Linked DNA regions of Arabidopsis thaliana. The protein of the gene in region 1 interacts with the protein of each later gene in a pairwise test. Each region holds a gene or a part of one and is shown in the gene's direction. Other genes may lie near its edges. The genes, in order: FRS5, AT2G40260, AT3G19070 and AT4G10600.

The links.
Region 2: the proteins of FRS5 (region 1) and AT2G40260 interact in a two-hybrid assay, tested with the Arabidopsis thaliana proteins (one large-scale study listed by BioGRID).
Region 3: the proteins of FRS5 (region 1) and AT3G19070 interact in a two-hybrid assay, tested with the Arabidopsis thaliana proteins (one large-scale study listed by BioGRID).
Region 4: the proteins of FRS5 (region 1) and AT4G10600 interact in a two-hybrid assay, tested with the Arabidopsis thaliana proteins (one large-scale study listed by BioGRID).

The regions. Positions count from the first base shown.
Region 1 is NC_003075.7:17,905,967-17,911,444, reverse strand, and holds FRS5 (FAR1-related sequence 5), read left to right. Parts: upstream 1-1,701; 5' UTR 1,702-2,040; coding exon 2,041-4,233; intron 4,234-4,569; coding exon 4,570-4,743; 3' UTR 4,744-4,931; downstream 4,932-5,478. Other genes in the region: CSLD4 (cellulose synthase like D4), read left to right, coding at 39-1,349; FRS9 (FAR1-related sequence 9), read right to left, coding at 5,006-5,173, 5,255-5,478. UniProt on the Arabidopsis thaliana protein: Putative transcription activator involved in regulating light control of development.
Region 2 is NC_003071.7:16,816,015-16,820,707, reverse strand, and holds AT2G40260 (Homeodomain-like superfamily protein), read left to right. Parts: upstream 1-1,977; 5' UTR 1,978-2,234; coding exon 2,235-2,553; exon of another isoform or gene 2,554-2,677; coding exon 2,678-2,754; intron 2,755-2,848; coding exon 2,849-2,885; intron 2,886-3,010; coding exon 3,011-3,113; intron 3,114-3,193; coding exon 3,194-3,890; 3' UTR 3,891-4,178; downstream 4,179-4,693.
Region 3 is NC_003074.8:6,592,100-6,595,519, forward strand, and holds AT3G19070 (Homeodomain-like superfamily protein), read left to right. Parts: upstream 1-1,673; coding exon 1,674-1,842; intron 1,843-1,922; coding exon 1,923-2,666; intron 2,667-2,750; coding exon 2,751-2,878; downstream 2,879-3,420. Other genes in the region: AT3G19055 (uncharacterized protein), read left to right, coding at 217-308, 397-521, 603-675, 792-843.
Region 4 is NC_003075.7:6,546,729-6,550,566, reverse strand, and holds AT4G10600 (RING/FYVE/PHD zinc finger superfamily protein), read left to right. Parts: upstream 1-1,688; 5' UTR 1,689-1,919; coding exon 1,920-2,633; 3' UTR 2,634-2,726; exon of another isoform or gene 2,727-2,898; intron 2,899-3,001; 3' UTR 3,002-3,332; downstream 3,333-3,838.

The DNA.
Region 1 (5,478 bases):
TACCAAAAAATAAATGATTCTCTGTTTTTCTTTTCCAGGGACCAGTTTATGTTGGAACAGGTACTATGTTTAGGCGCTTTGCTCTCTATGGTTTTGATCCACCCAACCCTGACAAGCTTCTTGAGAAGAAGGAATCAGAAACAGAGGCTCTAACCACCAGTGACTTTGACCCGGACCTTGATGTCACACAACTCCCCAAGCGCTTTGGGAACTCCACACTCCTAGCTGAGTCAATTCCAATTGCAGAGTTCCAAGGTCGTCCATTGGCAGACCACCCGGCTGTCAAGTACGGTCGTCCTCCCGGAGCCCTTAGAGTCCCTCGTGACCCACTTGATGCTACCACTGTCGCAGAGTCTGTTTCTGTAATCTCTTGTTGGTATGAGGATAAAACGGAGTGGGGAGATAGAGTTGGATGGATTTATGGGTCGGTGACAGAGGACGTGGTCACAGGATACCGCATGCATAATCGTGGGTGGCGCTCGGTTTACTGCATAACTAAGCGAGATTCTTTTCGAGGCTCTGCACCCATTAATCTCACGGATCGTCTTCACCAGGTGTTGCGGTGGGCCACTGGGTCTGTTGAGATCTTCTTCTCTAGAAACAACGCCATTCTCGCCTCCAAACGTCTCAAGTTCCTCCAACGTCTCGCATACCTCAATGTTGGGATATACCCTTTCACGTCTCTGTTTCTCATCCTCTATTGTTTTCTTCCGGCATTCTCTCTTTTCTCTGGACAGTTCATCGTGCGGACGCTCAGTATCTCCTTCTTGGTCTACCTTCTTATGATCACCATTTGTTTGATTGGATTGGCGGTTTTGGAGGTCAAGTGGTCTGGCATTGGGCTGGAAGAATGGTGGAGAAACGAACAGTGGTGGCTCATCTCAGGAACAAGCTCTCACCTTTACGCAGTGGTCCAAGGAGTCCTCAAAGTGATTGCAGGGATCGAGATCTCCTTTACCTTGACGACCAAGTCAGGGGGAGATGACAATGAAGACATATACGCGGATTTGTACATAGTGAAATGGTCGTCGCTGATGATACCGCCTATAGTGATAGCAATGGTGAACATAATAGCGATTGTGGTGGCGTTCATCAGGACAATATACCAAGCGGTGCCACAATGGAGCAAGCTAATCGGAGGAGCATTTTTCAGCTTCTGGGTGTTGGCGCATTTGTATCCATTTGCAAAAGGATTGATGGGACGAAGAGGCAAAACTCCAACCATAGTTTTTGTGTGGGCAGGTCTCATTGCCATCACCATCTCTCTACTGTGGACGGCCATAAACCCAAACACCGGACCTGCAGCTGCTGCAGAGGGTGTTGGAGGCGGTGGTTTTCAATTCCCGTAATTAAAAAAGCATTCATATAGGCGACTTGAGAGTTTTGTAGACTAATCACAAGAAATTAATACGTATACTATCTTTGTTTCTTTTTGTTTTTGTTTTTGTTCCTGGTAGTAAATTTTCAGATAACTACATGTATATCTGGATTGAGATGTCATGACTGTATAAATCAGCCTTTGTATCAATCATTTCGTCTTTAAAAGTCAATTTTTCCTCTCCTCCACTCGCAACTGATAGTGAACCATACGGTAAGCGTAAAAGAGGATGGGCCTTATAAAGTAAATGAAGAGGGAGTGGGCCTTATAAAATTATAAATGAAGAAGGAATGGGCCTTATAAAATAAATGAAGAAGGAATGGGCCTTGCTTAAATTAAAAAAAGAGAATTAGAAGCACCGTCTGTCTTCCTCCTCCGTGCCCTCCGACGACTCTATTCCCAGTCTCCCTCCTCCGTCGTCTCTCATCTTCCTTTTCATTCTTCGGTTATTATAACGTAATCAATTACAAGTTCCCTTATCTCTTCTTTTCTGGTTTCTCCCGCGCACGAACGCGCATTCCCTCGTCTTCGCTGCCTCCCAATCTCAATCTCAGACTTGAAATCAAATCACGACTGTAAGTGGTTCTATCTACAGTAGCTAGCTATTTCATCCTGTTGTGGACAATAGATAGATAGAATTCATCCCTGAAGACAAGGAGGATATGATGGATAATGAAGTGCTCGACTTCGATATTGGTGTAGGAGTTAGTAGTGGCGGAGATGTTGATGACGACGCTATTGATATTGAGCACCATGCTCTCGACGACGATGATATGCTCGACAGCCCAATTATGCCTTGCGGTAATGGTCTTGTTGGCAATTCTGGAAATTACTTTCCCAACCAGGAGGAGGAGGCTTGTGATCTCCTGGATCTCGAGCCCTATGATGGTCTTGAATTCGAGTCCGAAGAAGCTGCCAAGGCATTCTACAACTCGTATGCCCGTCGCATTGGCTTTAGTACCCGTGTCAGTTCCTCCCGCCGCTCCCGCCGTGATGGAGCTATCATCCAGAGGCAATTTGTCTGTGCCAAAGAAGGTTTCAGAAATATGAATGAAAAGCGCACCAAGGACAGGGAGATCAAGCGTCCCAGGACCATCACTCGAGTCGGTTGCAAAGCCTCCCTCTCTGTTAAGATGCAGGATTCCGGTAAATGGCTTGTCTCTGGCTTTGTCAAAGACCACAACCATGAGCTTGTTCCTCCCGACCAAGTTCACTGTCTGCGTTCCCACAGGCAAATCTCTGGCCCTGCCAAGACTTTGATTGACACACTTCAAGCTGCAGGAATGGGTCCCCGCAGAATCATGTCCGCCCTCATCAAAGAGTATGGTGGCATCAGCAAGGTTGGTTTCACCGAAGTGGACTGTAGGAATTATATGAGGAACAACCGCCAGAAGAGCATAGAAGGAGAGATTCAGCTTCTTCTTGACTACTTGAGGCAGATGAATGCTGACAACCCAAACTTCTTTTATTCTGTTCAGGGAAGCGAAGATCAGTCTGTTGGTAATGTCTTCTGGGCTGATCCTAAAGCTATAATGGATTTCACTCACTTTGGAGACACCGTTACATTTGATACAACCTACAGGTCCAACAGGTACCGTTTGCCTTTCGCACCCTTCACTGGTGTAAATCACCATGGCCAACCCATTCTTTTCGGCTGTGCCTTTATCATCAATGAAACTGAGGCTTCATTTGTATGGCTTTTCAATACGTGGCTAGCCGCAATGTCCGCCCACCCTCCTGTCTCAATCACCACCGATCATGATGCTGTTATACGTGCAGCCATCATGCACGTTTTTCCTGGTGCCCGCCATCGCTTTTGCAAATGGCATATTTTAAAGAAATGTCAGGAGAAGCTGTCGCATGTCTTCCTCAAGCATCCTTCGTTTGAGTCAGATTTCCACAAATGTGTCAATCTGACAGAGTCGGTTGAGGATTTTGAGAGATGCTGGTTTTCACTTCTTGACAAGTATGAGCTAAGAGATCATGAGTGGCTACAAGCAATATACTCCGATCGCCGGCAGTGGGTCCCAGTATATCTCCGTGATACCTTTTTTGCCGACATGTCCTTAACTCATCGTAGTGATAGTATCAATTCATATTTTGATGGTTATATAAACGCTTCAACCAATCTAAGCCAGTTCTTTAAGCTGTATGAAAAAGCTTTGGAGAGTCGTCTCGAGAAAGAAGTTAAAGCAGATTATGACACAATGAACTCACCTCCTGTTCTGAAGACTCCATCTCCAATGGAGAAGCAGGCGTCTGAACTTTACACAAGGAAGTTGTTTATGAGATTTCAGGAAGAACTAGTTGGAACCCTGACTTTCATGGCATCCAAAGCTGACGATGATGGGGATCTTGTTACCTACCAGGTTGCGAAATATGGAGAGGCTCACAAGGCTCATTTCGTTAAGTTCAACGTTTTGGAGATGAGAGCAAATTGCAGTTGCCAGATGTTTGAGTTCTCTGGCATCATTTGCAGACATATATTGGCAGTCTTCCGGGTCACCAATCTCCTTACACTTCCACCTTACTACATCCTAAAAAGATGGACCAGAAATGCCAAAAGCAGTGTTATATTTGATGATTATAATTTGCATGCGTATGCTAATTACCTGGAGTCTCATACCGTCCGATACAACACCTTACGTCACAAAGCTTCTAATTTTGTGCAAGAAGCTGGAAAATCTCTGTATACTTGTGATGTCGCAGTTGTTGCTCTGCAAGAAGCTGCCAAGACTGTGTCCCTGGCAATGAATAAGGAAGTTAGAAGAACTATGGCGAACAGGCATTTTAAAGCGAGTTCTGTAACTGGTGGAAAACATCAGCAAGAAGTGCTGGCGCAACCTGAGCCCGAGGTGAGGATCATTTTCTTTTCGATACTTGTTTTCTTTTTGATATAATAGCAATCAAATTTGTTGCTCTAAAAAATAGTTATATACGTTTGAAGTATCGTTTGTGCGGGTTTGCCCCATACAATACAATCATTGCTTTGTCTCCTTGACGGTACCATAATGCTGATTGCTCTGTTAACGTTTGACTAATGAGCTCGTGATTCACATATGCATGTTAAGAGTATGGTCTTCATTTTGCCATTGTGAGCCTTTGTTCCGTACAATCTGCAAGGTCCTCAATTTTGCTATGTGCTTTTACTGCTGACTAATTGCATGACCGTATTTCCTCTACTTTCGCAGGACGAAATGGACAAGAAGATTAATCAGCTCAGAAACGAGCTGGAATTAGCAAACAGGAAATGCGAAGCTTACAGGACTAACCTACTTTCAGTTTTGAAAGAAATGGAAGACCAAAAGTTACAAGTGTCCATCAAAGTGCAGAACATCAAAATTAGCTTGAAGGATAATCTGTGAAACAAGCAACAAATTCCGACTGCTATTCTCATCTATAACATATTGCTCATGTACTATATCTCTTATAGGGTTTTTGAAAGAGGGACCCAATTTTCAGGATTTCCCTGTTCTTACAGTAGGTAGCCTTTGTAATAGATTGTACTCCCAATCATTTCCTTACTGAGTAAGAGCATGAAGTTGATTCCCATAAATGTTTGCATACCAAGTTACCAACCACAGTACGTGAGTTGAATTGTGATGTTATGTATCCAGCAGATTGCACTCACTCTTTCAAGCTTAGTCTAGCATTTTGTACCTTGAGGGATAGCTGAAACTTCTGTTCTTCCATATCTCTCAAAATAGACAGCAGGTTTGCTCGATAAACTTCACATCGCTGGCCTGTCCTCTCCAACTCAGCTGTCAGTTCAAGTATCGTCCTCTCTTTTTCACCCTGGCATTGAAGTAAGTACTTATTCCCAAGGAACAGAGGACATCAATGTTAAAGAATTATCAAATACCAGTATTCGCTTACCCCTGGATGATTCGTTGCATTTGCTGTTTCTCGAGCTTCCTCGGACGGGTAAGCTTCCCCATTGGGAAGCCTAGTTCCAGGTGTTCTGTTACTTGCAGCAGCAACCTTCTTGGCAGCTTCATCCAAAGCATCCATTGCAACTTTATAGATCTGAATAGATTTGGCACCTTCCTCGACATACTTGGTTGCTTCTTGGCGTAGACTGTTGAAGCAGAGATTTAAAG
Region 2 (4,693 bases), on another chromosome or scaffold:
TTTCTTCGGTCTAGTGTACACTGCGTATATAGTTTCTACAATCTCAGATCTTCAGTTCAAACCCTATATTATAAAAAAGTTATAGCCTTATAGGTACCGAAATTTTAAAAGTTGAGAGACATAAAACACGAAGACTTTGGTCCACGCTTAGAATTTGATTGGTTCATTTCATATATGTGTCAAGGAAAATGAATTAGCATAGTGTCGTGGTCAATTTCAACGGATTATATAACTTAGTAAATCAATACCGTAGTTAATATACCCTTTTTTTGTCAATACCGTGATTGATATTAATACTTAGCATTTGGTATCTGTTGGGTCGTATAATTGATCATGGGTTGTCTGAGCATGGAAGTAGGATTATAGGGTAGATATGAAGAACGTCATTCTAACGTAAATTATTATTGCTACACTTTTAAAACCAAAATATACGACAGCTTTAATTCTTCCTACCAATTAATAACGACGACGAAAATATACGATTACGGCTGGACATTGGGCTTCCAAAAACGATTTTGAAAAAAAAAAAAAAAACAGAAAGAAATGTCATATACCTAATTTATTTGACCGATGACTTTCACATTATCTGGTCACCATTCACAAAATTTGACACAGTACTTGCATGTCGCTTACAAGAAAAATTAGCCTGCTGATGTTAGAGGAATACAGATAGATACAATTCTGCCTTGACCCTCTCCTGGAGGCGCAAAGTTCATGACAATAAGTAAATCATATATTATACATTTTAATTTTCTCCTTTCTAAGTTCTTAAAAAAGTATGACATCCCCTACTTTGCCTACTTCCTTAATTTCACAAAAATAAAAGTATGACATACTTAATTAGAACATATCTTTTGTTTAGTATTTTACTAGTAATTTTAATAGTACGTACGCTATATAGAACGAACTAATCACCCCTGAACTGAATTCCAAACTAAATCAATTGGTTGCATGTGTGTACGTACAGAAACTCATATAATTCTCAAGTTCAATTCTGTGATAATCATGTGACTTATTAGCTTCAGTTGTTATATTCTGTATCCTAATTTATTTATTTATTTTTTAACATTTATTTGGGTTATATATAGAAAAAGAGATGTACTATTTGCATGTATATAGAGAGAGGCGCATGTGTAGATAATTATAGATAATATGAAATCGTAAGAGTAGTGGAGATGGAGACAAACCCGTGATTGTCGTTGGTGACAGAAACAAGTAGTAATATTTTCTTCTCGTGTCTTTCAGTGAAGACAGCCCAGCCAAGCACCTTTTAACTTCTGTCTGATTCCTCTCTCTATGCTCTTTCTCTGTCTATCTATCTAATTATGCTTTTGGGTTTCTTCTTTTTCTGGTTTCACAGCTTTGGCTTTGAAGTCACGAGCCCATCCCCCTAACCATCCCCTTTTATGCTTTGCTTTTCTAGTCAATTTAATTCATGAGTTGTAACGATGGAAGAAGTTTCATTTATCTAATTAATGTGTATGCCTCATTAATGTTGCCTTCTTCCTATATTGCTAAAAGCTAGTTCGAATGAAACAAAAACACGTACCAAATCCAATGAAAAACATAGATCTTCAGTTGGTTTTGAAAGAAAGAACAAAAAAAATTGTTAATGTACATGTCATATTGAACCCTGATTTATGTCATAAAATTGGTATACGTACGGGTTGATATCATGAAAACGTTTGATCTTTTACCATGAAAATGATCATTATTTAGATAAATTCAATCTACTCCTTGGAATTTCTTTTCACTCCCTATCACAACGAGATTCAAAGATTAATTGTACTAATTGACTTAATAGTTATTAACTCATTTTAAAATACATCTTATGACTGAAGTTACTAATGTTTAATGAAATTAAAAGTACCATTTTTGTCATGAGGTGTAATTCTAGATCTATCTTTCCCTAAGATGTATATAACTGTAGAAAAAACCATTGGTGTAATAAAAAGCTATATATTAAATAGAATTTAGAATATCCGTTGCCATCATATACATATTTCAACATATATGTTGAGTTGGAGAGAGAGGGGGAGAAAAAGGAATGATGGATACAAGCATCCAAAAAGTCATACACATAGACCATCAAAAGTCTTCACCTTAAATTCCTAACACATATGTATGAGTGTGTGATCTTTGTTTGATCTTTGTCCAGAGAACTCCAAGATAGACCAAAAAGGTTCAACCTCAAAACAAACAACACAAAAACAGCCAAATAGCTAGAGACCAAGATGAGATCAAGCAGCCAAAATTCTGAAAACTCCAAGACTTGTCTATCTAACAACATCAAAGCAACCACCAAGAATGAAGAAGATAAAGATGAAGAGGATGATGAAGAAGGCGAAGAGGATGAAGAAGAGAGATCTGGAGATCAGAGCCCATCTAGCAATAGCTATGAGGAAGAGAGTGGGAGTCACCACCATGATCAGAACAAGAAGAATGGAGGATCCGTGAGGCCGTACAACCGCTCAAAGACTCCGAGGCTGCGATGGACGCCGGAGCTCCATATTTGCTTTCTTCAAGCTGTGGAGAGATTGGGTGGCCCAGATAGTTGAGTTTCAATTATATATATGAATCAATATCAAGATCATTGCATATGTGAAGATCTCTAAATTTCTAGGGTTTTCTTGTTGATATTTATTTGGGGTCTCTTTCAATGATTTTGTTGAAACAGGAGCAACACCGAAGCTTGTTCTCCAATTGATGAACGTCAAGGGGCTAAGTATTGCCCATGTTAAGAGTCATCTTCAGGTTTTGCAAATATCCACATACACATAGAGTATATATCTATATACATCATTGAGATCTTCATCTGAAATCATACTTCATTTTTTTTTCTTCTTAGATGTACAGAAGCAAGAAGACCGATGAGCCTAATGAAGGTAGTTTACTTAGCTTTCTTCTACCTTCTGATTTAAGTTAGGGCTTCTATAAATCTTATAATTGAATTCGACGAGAAATTGACTAATTCTTGTCTCTCGTGTTTTATCTTTTCTTATAACTACAGGAGATCAAGGATTTTCGTTTGAACACGGAGCTGGTTACACTTACAACCTTAGCCAACTTCCAATGCTACAAAGTTTTGATCAAAGGCCTTCTTCTAGTTTAGGGTATTTACAAACTCTTCAGCTAGCTATCTTTAAACTATAAGTTAAAATTACGTGTGTGTAACTTGGAATGTATTCAATAGATATGGTGGTGGTTCGTGGACTGACCACAGACGACAGATCTACCGTAGCCCTTGGAGAGGATTAACGACACGAGAAAATACAAGAACAAGACAAACAATGTTTAGCTCACAGCCTGGTGAGAGATATCACGGAGTTAGCAATAGTATTCTTAACGATAAGAACAAAACTATTTCATTTCGAATCAATTCTCATGAAGGGGTTCATGATAACAATGGAGTAGCTGGAGCTGTTCCAAGAATTCATAGAAGTTTTCTTGAAGGTATGAAAACGTTTAACAAATCATGGGGACAGAGCCTCTCTTCCAATCTTAAGTCCTCCACCGCAACAATACCACAAGATCATATTGCTACAACGCTAAATTCTTATCAATGGGAGAATGCTGGAGTGGCAGAAGGATCAGAGAATGTTTTGAAGAGGAAGAGGTTATTATTTTCTGATGACTGCAATAAGTCAGACCAAGATTTGGATCTAAGCTTGTCCCTTAAGGTACCTCGGACACACGACAATCTTGGAGAATGCTTGTTAGAAGATGAAGTAAAAGAACATGATGATCATCAAGATATCAAGAGTTTGTCTCTTTCGTTATCATCTTCAGGTTCATCAAAACTCGACCGAACCATTAGGAAAGAAGATCAAACTGATCACAAAAAGAGAAAGATTTCGGTCTTGGCAAGTCCCCTTGATCTCACTCTGTGAATATGTATAACAACTTATATACGTATATTCTAAGTGAGATCTTGTGGTACTTGTTGATGGAAGACGGTTCTGTATTGTTGTTTATCATTCGTTGCATACTTGTGACAAGACCCATAATTAAGGAAATAATAGAGACATTTTTTAATGTTTTTTATTAAAAAAAAATTCACATAATTTTGTCGAGATCGTTAAATGCATATTTTAAAATATATATGATTTGTGATCGAGTTGGGAGCAGAAATTTGTTTTCTTCTAAATAGTATAGTAACCAAGAAATACATTAGTGAGAGTCTATATATATGGTTTTGAGAGTTACAAGACATTGCACGTTGTCTATAAGCTTGTCTAGACGTTGCAATGTATATGTAGTTTACTCTCACATAACAAGTATCCTAAGCAATATTTTTGTTTTAACATGGAGATATTGTCTGAAAATTTATACGTTAACGTCAAATCAGTGAATACAAGAAAAGAAGATGAAGACTTCCGAGTCATAGCTTTCTGAGCTATAGCATTATTATTTTTATAAAGACGAGTTTTTGCCTTCTTCAAAATCGTTTTATAAATTATTCTATGTTTTAGATTTGTAGTTGAAATTATATGAAAGGTCCGTTAATTTAAAAATCAGGTCTGCTGAATGTTTTGTTTGTATTAAAAAAACAAAAAAAAAAAAACAAATCGGTTCTGATAACCAACCAAAGTTTATTTTAATTTAGTTGCGAGGTTAATTAAGAAAAAAAGAAGACACTTTCTTTAAGAGAAAATTGGAGAGAACGACAAGAAGACAGATGTACTTGACATAG
Region 3 (3,420 bases), on another chromosome or scaffold:
ATAAACTCTGTTTAGAATTTCAGTATTGAAATCTAAATTATAGTTTGTTTAGATTTTACTAAAGATCCTAGTACTCCAATAAATACAATCTTTGTATTTTTAAATAACACTGATATTATTGATCTTATCCCTATCATTAAATTCAACGACAAAAGTAAACTTTGTTGCAAAAGAGAAGAAGACTATAATAGAGAGACGACAGATCTCGTTCTCAAGATGGTGCACTCGCATTACACATTTGAAATCCGACAGGCCCGTTCACATTTATTCTTAATTCGTCATCCTCGTCCAGGATACTTTAAGAAGAGGTAATTTCTAGGTTTTTAATGTGTTTTTTCCACTCTGATTTAAAATCCTTTCTTCTCTCCCAAGCTTCCCTTTGCTTTCAATCCCCAGGAGCTGGAAGGATTGTAATGAGTTCGAGCAAGAAATCTCAAAAATCGAATCATTTCCGGAAATAATATCCAGAATTGATGAATATGTTGCACAACTTAAGGAGGAGGTGGCCTATCTAAAGATAGGTATTTATTCAGAGTATCTATTTGATCATTCTTTCTATTTTATTCTCCTTTTTTATCTTTATGTGTTTCATATTCGTGTAGCCAAGGCGATTGTCGAAGAGAGGGCTAGGATTCGCTCCATAAAAAGAGCGGAGGCGCGTAAGGTTTTAGAAAAGTAAGTTTAACAATTGACGACTTTTTAGAGAAATTTTTAATGATATTGACGACTTAGATGATTAATTATGATCATTATCAACCGTTTAATGATTACTTTTACTTTAATAGTTTAAGGCAAACTCTACTCGGGGAGATGAGGAAGAGGAAGGCTGACGAGGATCTATGAGAACTGATGATCACATAAACTTCATGCTACATGCAATAAACGCGGTTAATTGGGTTTTGTTTTTTCTTCAACATCAACCCGACCTAGCTAGGGTATTATCTATATATATGGGACATCTTATCATCTGATCTGCATGTACCTATTTTTATTATTATAAATGCTTCATATATTAAGAAGAAAAGTTGTAGGCTTGTAGCAACCGATTCATAGTGGAAAATCCTTTTTTTTTTTTTTATGAAAATCAGATCGGCCGCAAAAACAACTTTCACCATGCACGAAGCTAGAAACTGCATTGATGTACCGTGTACGCTGTTTTTAATATAAAATAATTGCAGTTTTATTAGTTAGGCTACAAATATGAAATCAGGAGAAATATACCAATTAATGTACGTCCTAATTGCTTGGTATGTTACATAACCTTAAGTTGTATAATATTTATTAATTTATTTTATACTGGAGTTGATAGCTTTAAAAGTTGAGAGCAAAGTAACTTGAGACCATTTTAGAGTTAGCAAAGTAATGGAGAAAATAAGAAAAATCACACGCATGCAGCATGATGTATAATTATTGGAAACATGTATTTCCAAGAAAGTAATCAGTTCTCTGTACGCCTGAATTCGATTTTCATAAAGCTCACTTCCTTGGATTGCTAGAGCAAACATTTATATTGATATCTGCGTTAACATCATAACATGTGGGTTTTTAGTAATTCTCAACAGTATGGGTATTTTTGCTCTCTCTAGAGAGGGTAAATTTGTGATTCCATCTGCAAATTATTCCTCCTATATATATATAGAACGTGATGAATCAAATTTCTTAAGTTGCAAGCCATGACTAATCTTGATGAGTTTCTTGAAGAGCTAAGTTCTATTGAATCACATTCTCAGAAAATCGTGAAGATAGATGAGCATTTAAAAAAGTTGGATGAAGAGACGAAAGAAGATGAAGATGAAGATGCGGCGAAGATAATTCAAGATCGGAGTACCGCGAGAGAAGCAGGTTAATTTCTTCTCCTTCACCTTGTAATTTAAAGTTGTTCCTCTCTCATTCTCAAATCTTGTTGGGTCTTGGAAACGCAGAAATTGCTCTACTTATGGATCTCCGTCAGAACTTTCTTCCACCACCATCGATGTCATCCTCCTCTCTTCAACCACCGTCATCGTCAACTCTCGCACCATCGTCATCATCCTCTCTTCAACCACCCGCACCGTTGATAGACTTCTTTCGGTCATCAGTGTCATACTCTCATCAACCACCGTCATCTTCAACTCTCGCAACATCATCGTCACCGTCTCTTCAACCACCGTCGATGTCATCCTCCTCTCTTCAACCACCCGCATCTTTGAGGGAATTCTTTACGTCGTCAGTGTCATACTCTCATCAGCCATCTTCATCTTCAACTCTCGCAACATCTTCGTTCTTTCCGTCGTCAATGCCATACTCTGTTCGACCTCCCGATTCGTCTGATCGACCATCTTTGAGGGAATTCTTTCCGTCGTCACCATCATCCTCTATTCAGCCACCCGAATCATCATCATCTAAGCGAGCACGGCTTAGTAACATCTTTCCGTCACCTTTATCCTCCTCTCCGTCACCGTTTGTTAACCCGTTTCTCCGTCCGCAGGCCCAAGAACCAACAATACCAAATTTCATAAACCCAATACCACAGATCTCTCCAGGCCTACCTGCTCTATTCCCAAACCCTAACCCTAATCCTAACCCTAACCCAATCCCAAACCCAATCCGAAACCCAGACTTGGTGTGGACAAATAGGCTTCAACTAGTGTTTGATGACGCAGTTGTCAGACTTGGGGGATTATTCAGTATGCAACTTTATAATTTTTTTATTTATTTTGTTTATTCTTTCAACTCCTAACTATTTTCCTAATTTTTTTTTTTTTTTTCAGGTGCAACACCCAAAGCCATAAACGAACTAATTTCTGAAGAGGGTCTCACTGGTGACCAGATCCGTAGCCACTTACAAGTCTTGCGGGATCGTCAAAAGGCTATTGCAGACAAATTAGCCTTGGAGTGAAGAAAATATTGAAGATGAGAGATAGGATTAAATAGAAAGAGTGATAGTATAGAACGTTTCTTTTTCTTTTGTTGTTAATCTTGCATATTACAAACAATTACTATATCATAATAGAATTTATGTTAATGTTGGAGTTATTAAAAAAAAAAAAGTTAACCATAATAACATTCTTACTGTACGCATGAGTGATCATTTATCACAATCTATTAGAGCAACCCCAATGGGTGGGATGATGACAGTCCCTAAAAAACCAAAAAATAATAATATTTTAATTTTTTAACATAGTTTGACAACTAAAAAACCTACACATGTACATTTAATCTTCAGGTCCCTTATATAAGGGTTTTTGGAGCCCTTCTCTCCTGTGTCCCTTCCATTTTAATTATTTTTTTTTTTTTTATATTGTAAGGGACCTTAAGAGAGACCACCATTGCTGGTGCAGGCTGTAGAAAAATTTGTTTAGCTTCTCCTTCTTTTCTTAATTTTGACAGATAAGTCTCAGCCTCTCTCCCCCCATAAGGGTATGTCTTGACATTTAGATT
Region 4 (3,838 bases), about 11 Mb from region 1:
AAGCTATGATATATATATATAGTAAAAATAAAATAACTGGTTTGGTTTCAGTTTGGTCCTATCGAGTTCGGATTAAGACTTTGATAATCTATAAATACTTGAGTTGACTTATAATTATCATGATAAAGTTGAGCGGTGGTAGTTCAAAGAATTTTTAGTCTCAATCCATATAAGAAAGGATAGGAACAGAATGCATTGATCCATTAAAGGAATGTCAAAAAATTTCAATATCACTACATTTAAGGAATGTCAAACTTCTTCTAACTACTTTTTTAACTACCAAAATCTGAACAATTATCAGTTTCAAAATCAATCTCCTAACAATCCCCAATTTATGAAGGCTTATAGCAAAAATAAAGACTTGTTTTAATTAATTTGGACACAAAAACCCCATCTTTTTAAATTAAACTTTTGCTATCATCCTTCATAAACTCTTGTTTATTTTTTATCCGTCTTTTTAGTGAAATAGATCATAATAATATCATTTTAACTCCCAAAATTTTTCTAATTACCTTTTTAACTACCCAACATCAATCTCCTAACCATCAACATAATATAACAAATTATGGTTATCCACCAAATTTCTTTATATCGTCAACTGTTCCAAACTATCCTTCATATTTTAAAATATTTAATTTTTACTTATTTTAATTTTATTTGATATTAATTGTAATTAATTAATCACAAAAAACATAAACATAATTAAAATAAAAAATATAAAATAATGGTAGGGTAATGTGTTGTAATTTTATTAAACAAAACTATTGTAGTAAGTAAAAATTATGTAGGTATTGAATTATAATGTGGAGTGTTGAAAAGAGAAAAGTGGACATTGTAACCATGTAACTAATGTAGATAGTCTAACAGGTACACTAGTTGTACATGTTATTTTATCAACAATAGTTCTCTTCCTACTAATTAGAACAATTCAAGTCTAGTATCCATATATTATAATATAACATCTTACTAGTGCATGGGTTATTCAAAGATTCAATGATCATACAAAACATAAATCTACAAACTAAAATTCCCAAATAAAAATCATAAATCAAAGCCATCTCATTGAAGTTTCAGCTTTAACAAACACAAAATTAGCATAAAAACGATCAAAGAAAAAAACCTAAAAATCAAAACTTCAACTTCCAATATCTCTATTCCAATATCTTTCCTTCGATTTTTCTGTATGTCTTCCAAATTCTTTTTGTTTCCCTAATTGCTCAAGAAGTAATATCTTCGTCATTCTGTTTTTATTCAAGGTACATAGAAAGATTGATCCTAGACTACATCAAATTGGGTGTAGTCAGTGATATAGCTTCCCCGAAGTTAGCGGTTTTCGAAATCTTTTTGAAGCGGTTTCATATGATCGACCCAGAAGATTTTGGTACTACGACGTGACGAGTGGTTTTCAGAAGAACACATCTTCTACACGTGTCTTTAGGCTAAATTATACGTGCAAATATTTTTGCTAACTTCATTATGATTTAGTTATTTGACCGTTAATTTCCGCTTGTATTCCTCTTTGAGCTTGACCATTCTGTTTTTTATCTGCTTTTGGTTTTTAAATGAAATCGTTTGGTCCGTCCACAAAAAAAAAACAGTACCTATCCTCTAAGCCCGGCCCATCCCGGCCCATCCCGGCCCATCCCGGCCCATCCCGGCCCATACCGGCCCATATTTTAGTAATTATGGTTCCTATCTTCGTCTTCTTCGTTCAGAAATGGGAAGCGAGAACCATAGATTTACGTCAAGATAGCTTTTTTTCTATCAAGAATCGCAAAGCTATTTCGCGTAACATTACAATCGTCGTTCAGAAGAAACGAATTGGGTTTGACAAAGCTTCGATATTCAGGGAGATTTCTGGGTTAATTTGTGAAAGAATCAGAGAAATTTAGAGTTTTTTTTTTGGGGGTAAATTTGAGATGAAGCCACACGAAGATTGGGTTTATGAATCATGGACAGTAGATTGTGTTTGTGGTGTGAATTTTGATGATGGTAAAGAGATGGTTGATTGTGATGAATGTGGTGTTTGGGTTCATACATGGTGTTCTCGTTATGTTAAAGGTGATGATTTGTTTGTTTGCCACAAGTGTAAGATAAAAAACAATGAAGATGAATTGTCCAAGTTATCGGTTACTAAATCGTTGAGAATGGAGAATTTATGTACGCAGAGTAGTGAGAGTGTTGTATTGAAGGCTTGTTCAGAGATACCAATTGAAGAAAGGGTTCATGTACAAGGAGTTCCTGGTGGTGATTTGGGTTTGTTTGAATGTGTTTCTTCGGTTTTTAGTCGGCAGTTATGGAAGTGTAGTGGTTATGTGCCTAAGAAGTTTAGGTTTCAGTGTAGGGAGTTTCCTTGTTGGGATGAGAAGGAGAATGTGTGTGATGTTGTTGGGGATGAAGATGATAGTAATCTTGCTGGTGTTTTGTTGTCTATGTCGAAAGAAAACGGTGTGGATGGTAAGGGAGACAATGCTAGGAATTGTGGTTCTAGAGAAATTGAGAGTGATGTAGAGAAAGAGAAGAGCTTGCTTTGTGATCCTTTGAGTATATATAAGAGGAGAAACGAGTCGGTGGGTGGTTTTGAAGATGGGGTAAAGAAGAAGGTTAAAGTTGCTGATAAAGAGGAAGAATAATGATGTAAGAAGGCTTTGATTTGGATACAGAAGAGGCATTATGTGTTACACAACCAACATTTCTTATTTTAATAGATTTCTTACACAAGAATGGTAAGGTTTATAACTTTGTCACTAGTTTAGATTCTTAACCTTATATTCAGATATAACCACAATGGTTCATGGTTTCATTTGTCTTTGCAATCAACTAACAGTTGTAGGATACTTAACATCCACATAATATGCAATAAAAAGTGTAAATTCTTTCCATTGATGATAAACTCGATTGCTTGGTTTATAAGTTTGTGTAGGTCAAATTAGGAGCAAGAAAGGCTTGTTTTATCTTGATGATTAACTCAATCTTAGTCATTCATGTGAGCGGTTCGCAGTTTCAGGATTAGTAGGCGCTCAAAATCTTGAAGGCTTCGCGGACTCTCCTCGCCCTCCGTCCTTCCATAGATGAAGTTGAATTCTCTGACAATTCTCACCATGAACAATTTTAGGTGATTTCAAATAGATAAGAAAGCTCTTGTTGGAAGGCAGTGCACTAAAGGGTCCTGATATCCTACTTGTATTCCAAAAAACTCTTCTCTTGAATATGAAAGGCTGCAAAGCGTTGGTGCGACTTCCAAATTGTTTCCGGAACTTACGGAGTATATGCAGAATTTTGTGCTTTATGGAACAAGAATAAACTTGAAATGCCAAAGTTATTGCATTGCATTGAGTCTGTTTTATGCTTAAGTGCAACTGTGCAAGCTAACATCAGCCATCTGATATGGCTTTACTTCAAGAATCGCTAGAAGCTCAAATCTTAAGTGCCACATGGTTTATGTTTGATGTTTTGTGTCGCTTGGTAGGCACATATTTAGTGGCCATTGTTGTAGGATCCAAATCGCTAAGTAAAAGAAAAGTCTCAATTCTATATGAAACTCATGTAAATCCATTAAAACTCATTGGAGAAAAGCCCTTAATTATCCATATAAGCCCGTAACGAGAGAGTAAACCTAAAATTTCGTTAGACAAAAAGAAAACCCTAGCCGATTAATATCCTTATAAATAGATAGGTAGTCTCCTTAATTTTCTCCTTAGTCAAAATCTTAGAGAGAGTCCGAGGAAACCCTAGCCACCGTCGTTGCCGTAACTCGTTCGCCTGAGGATAATGATCAATTGGGTTTATGCTAGAGTTAAATCGGGTCTTGAAAAGAGAAGGAAGTTGCATGCGACTC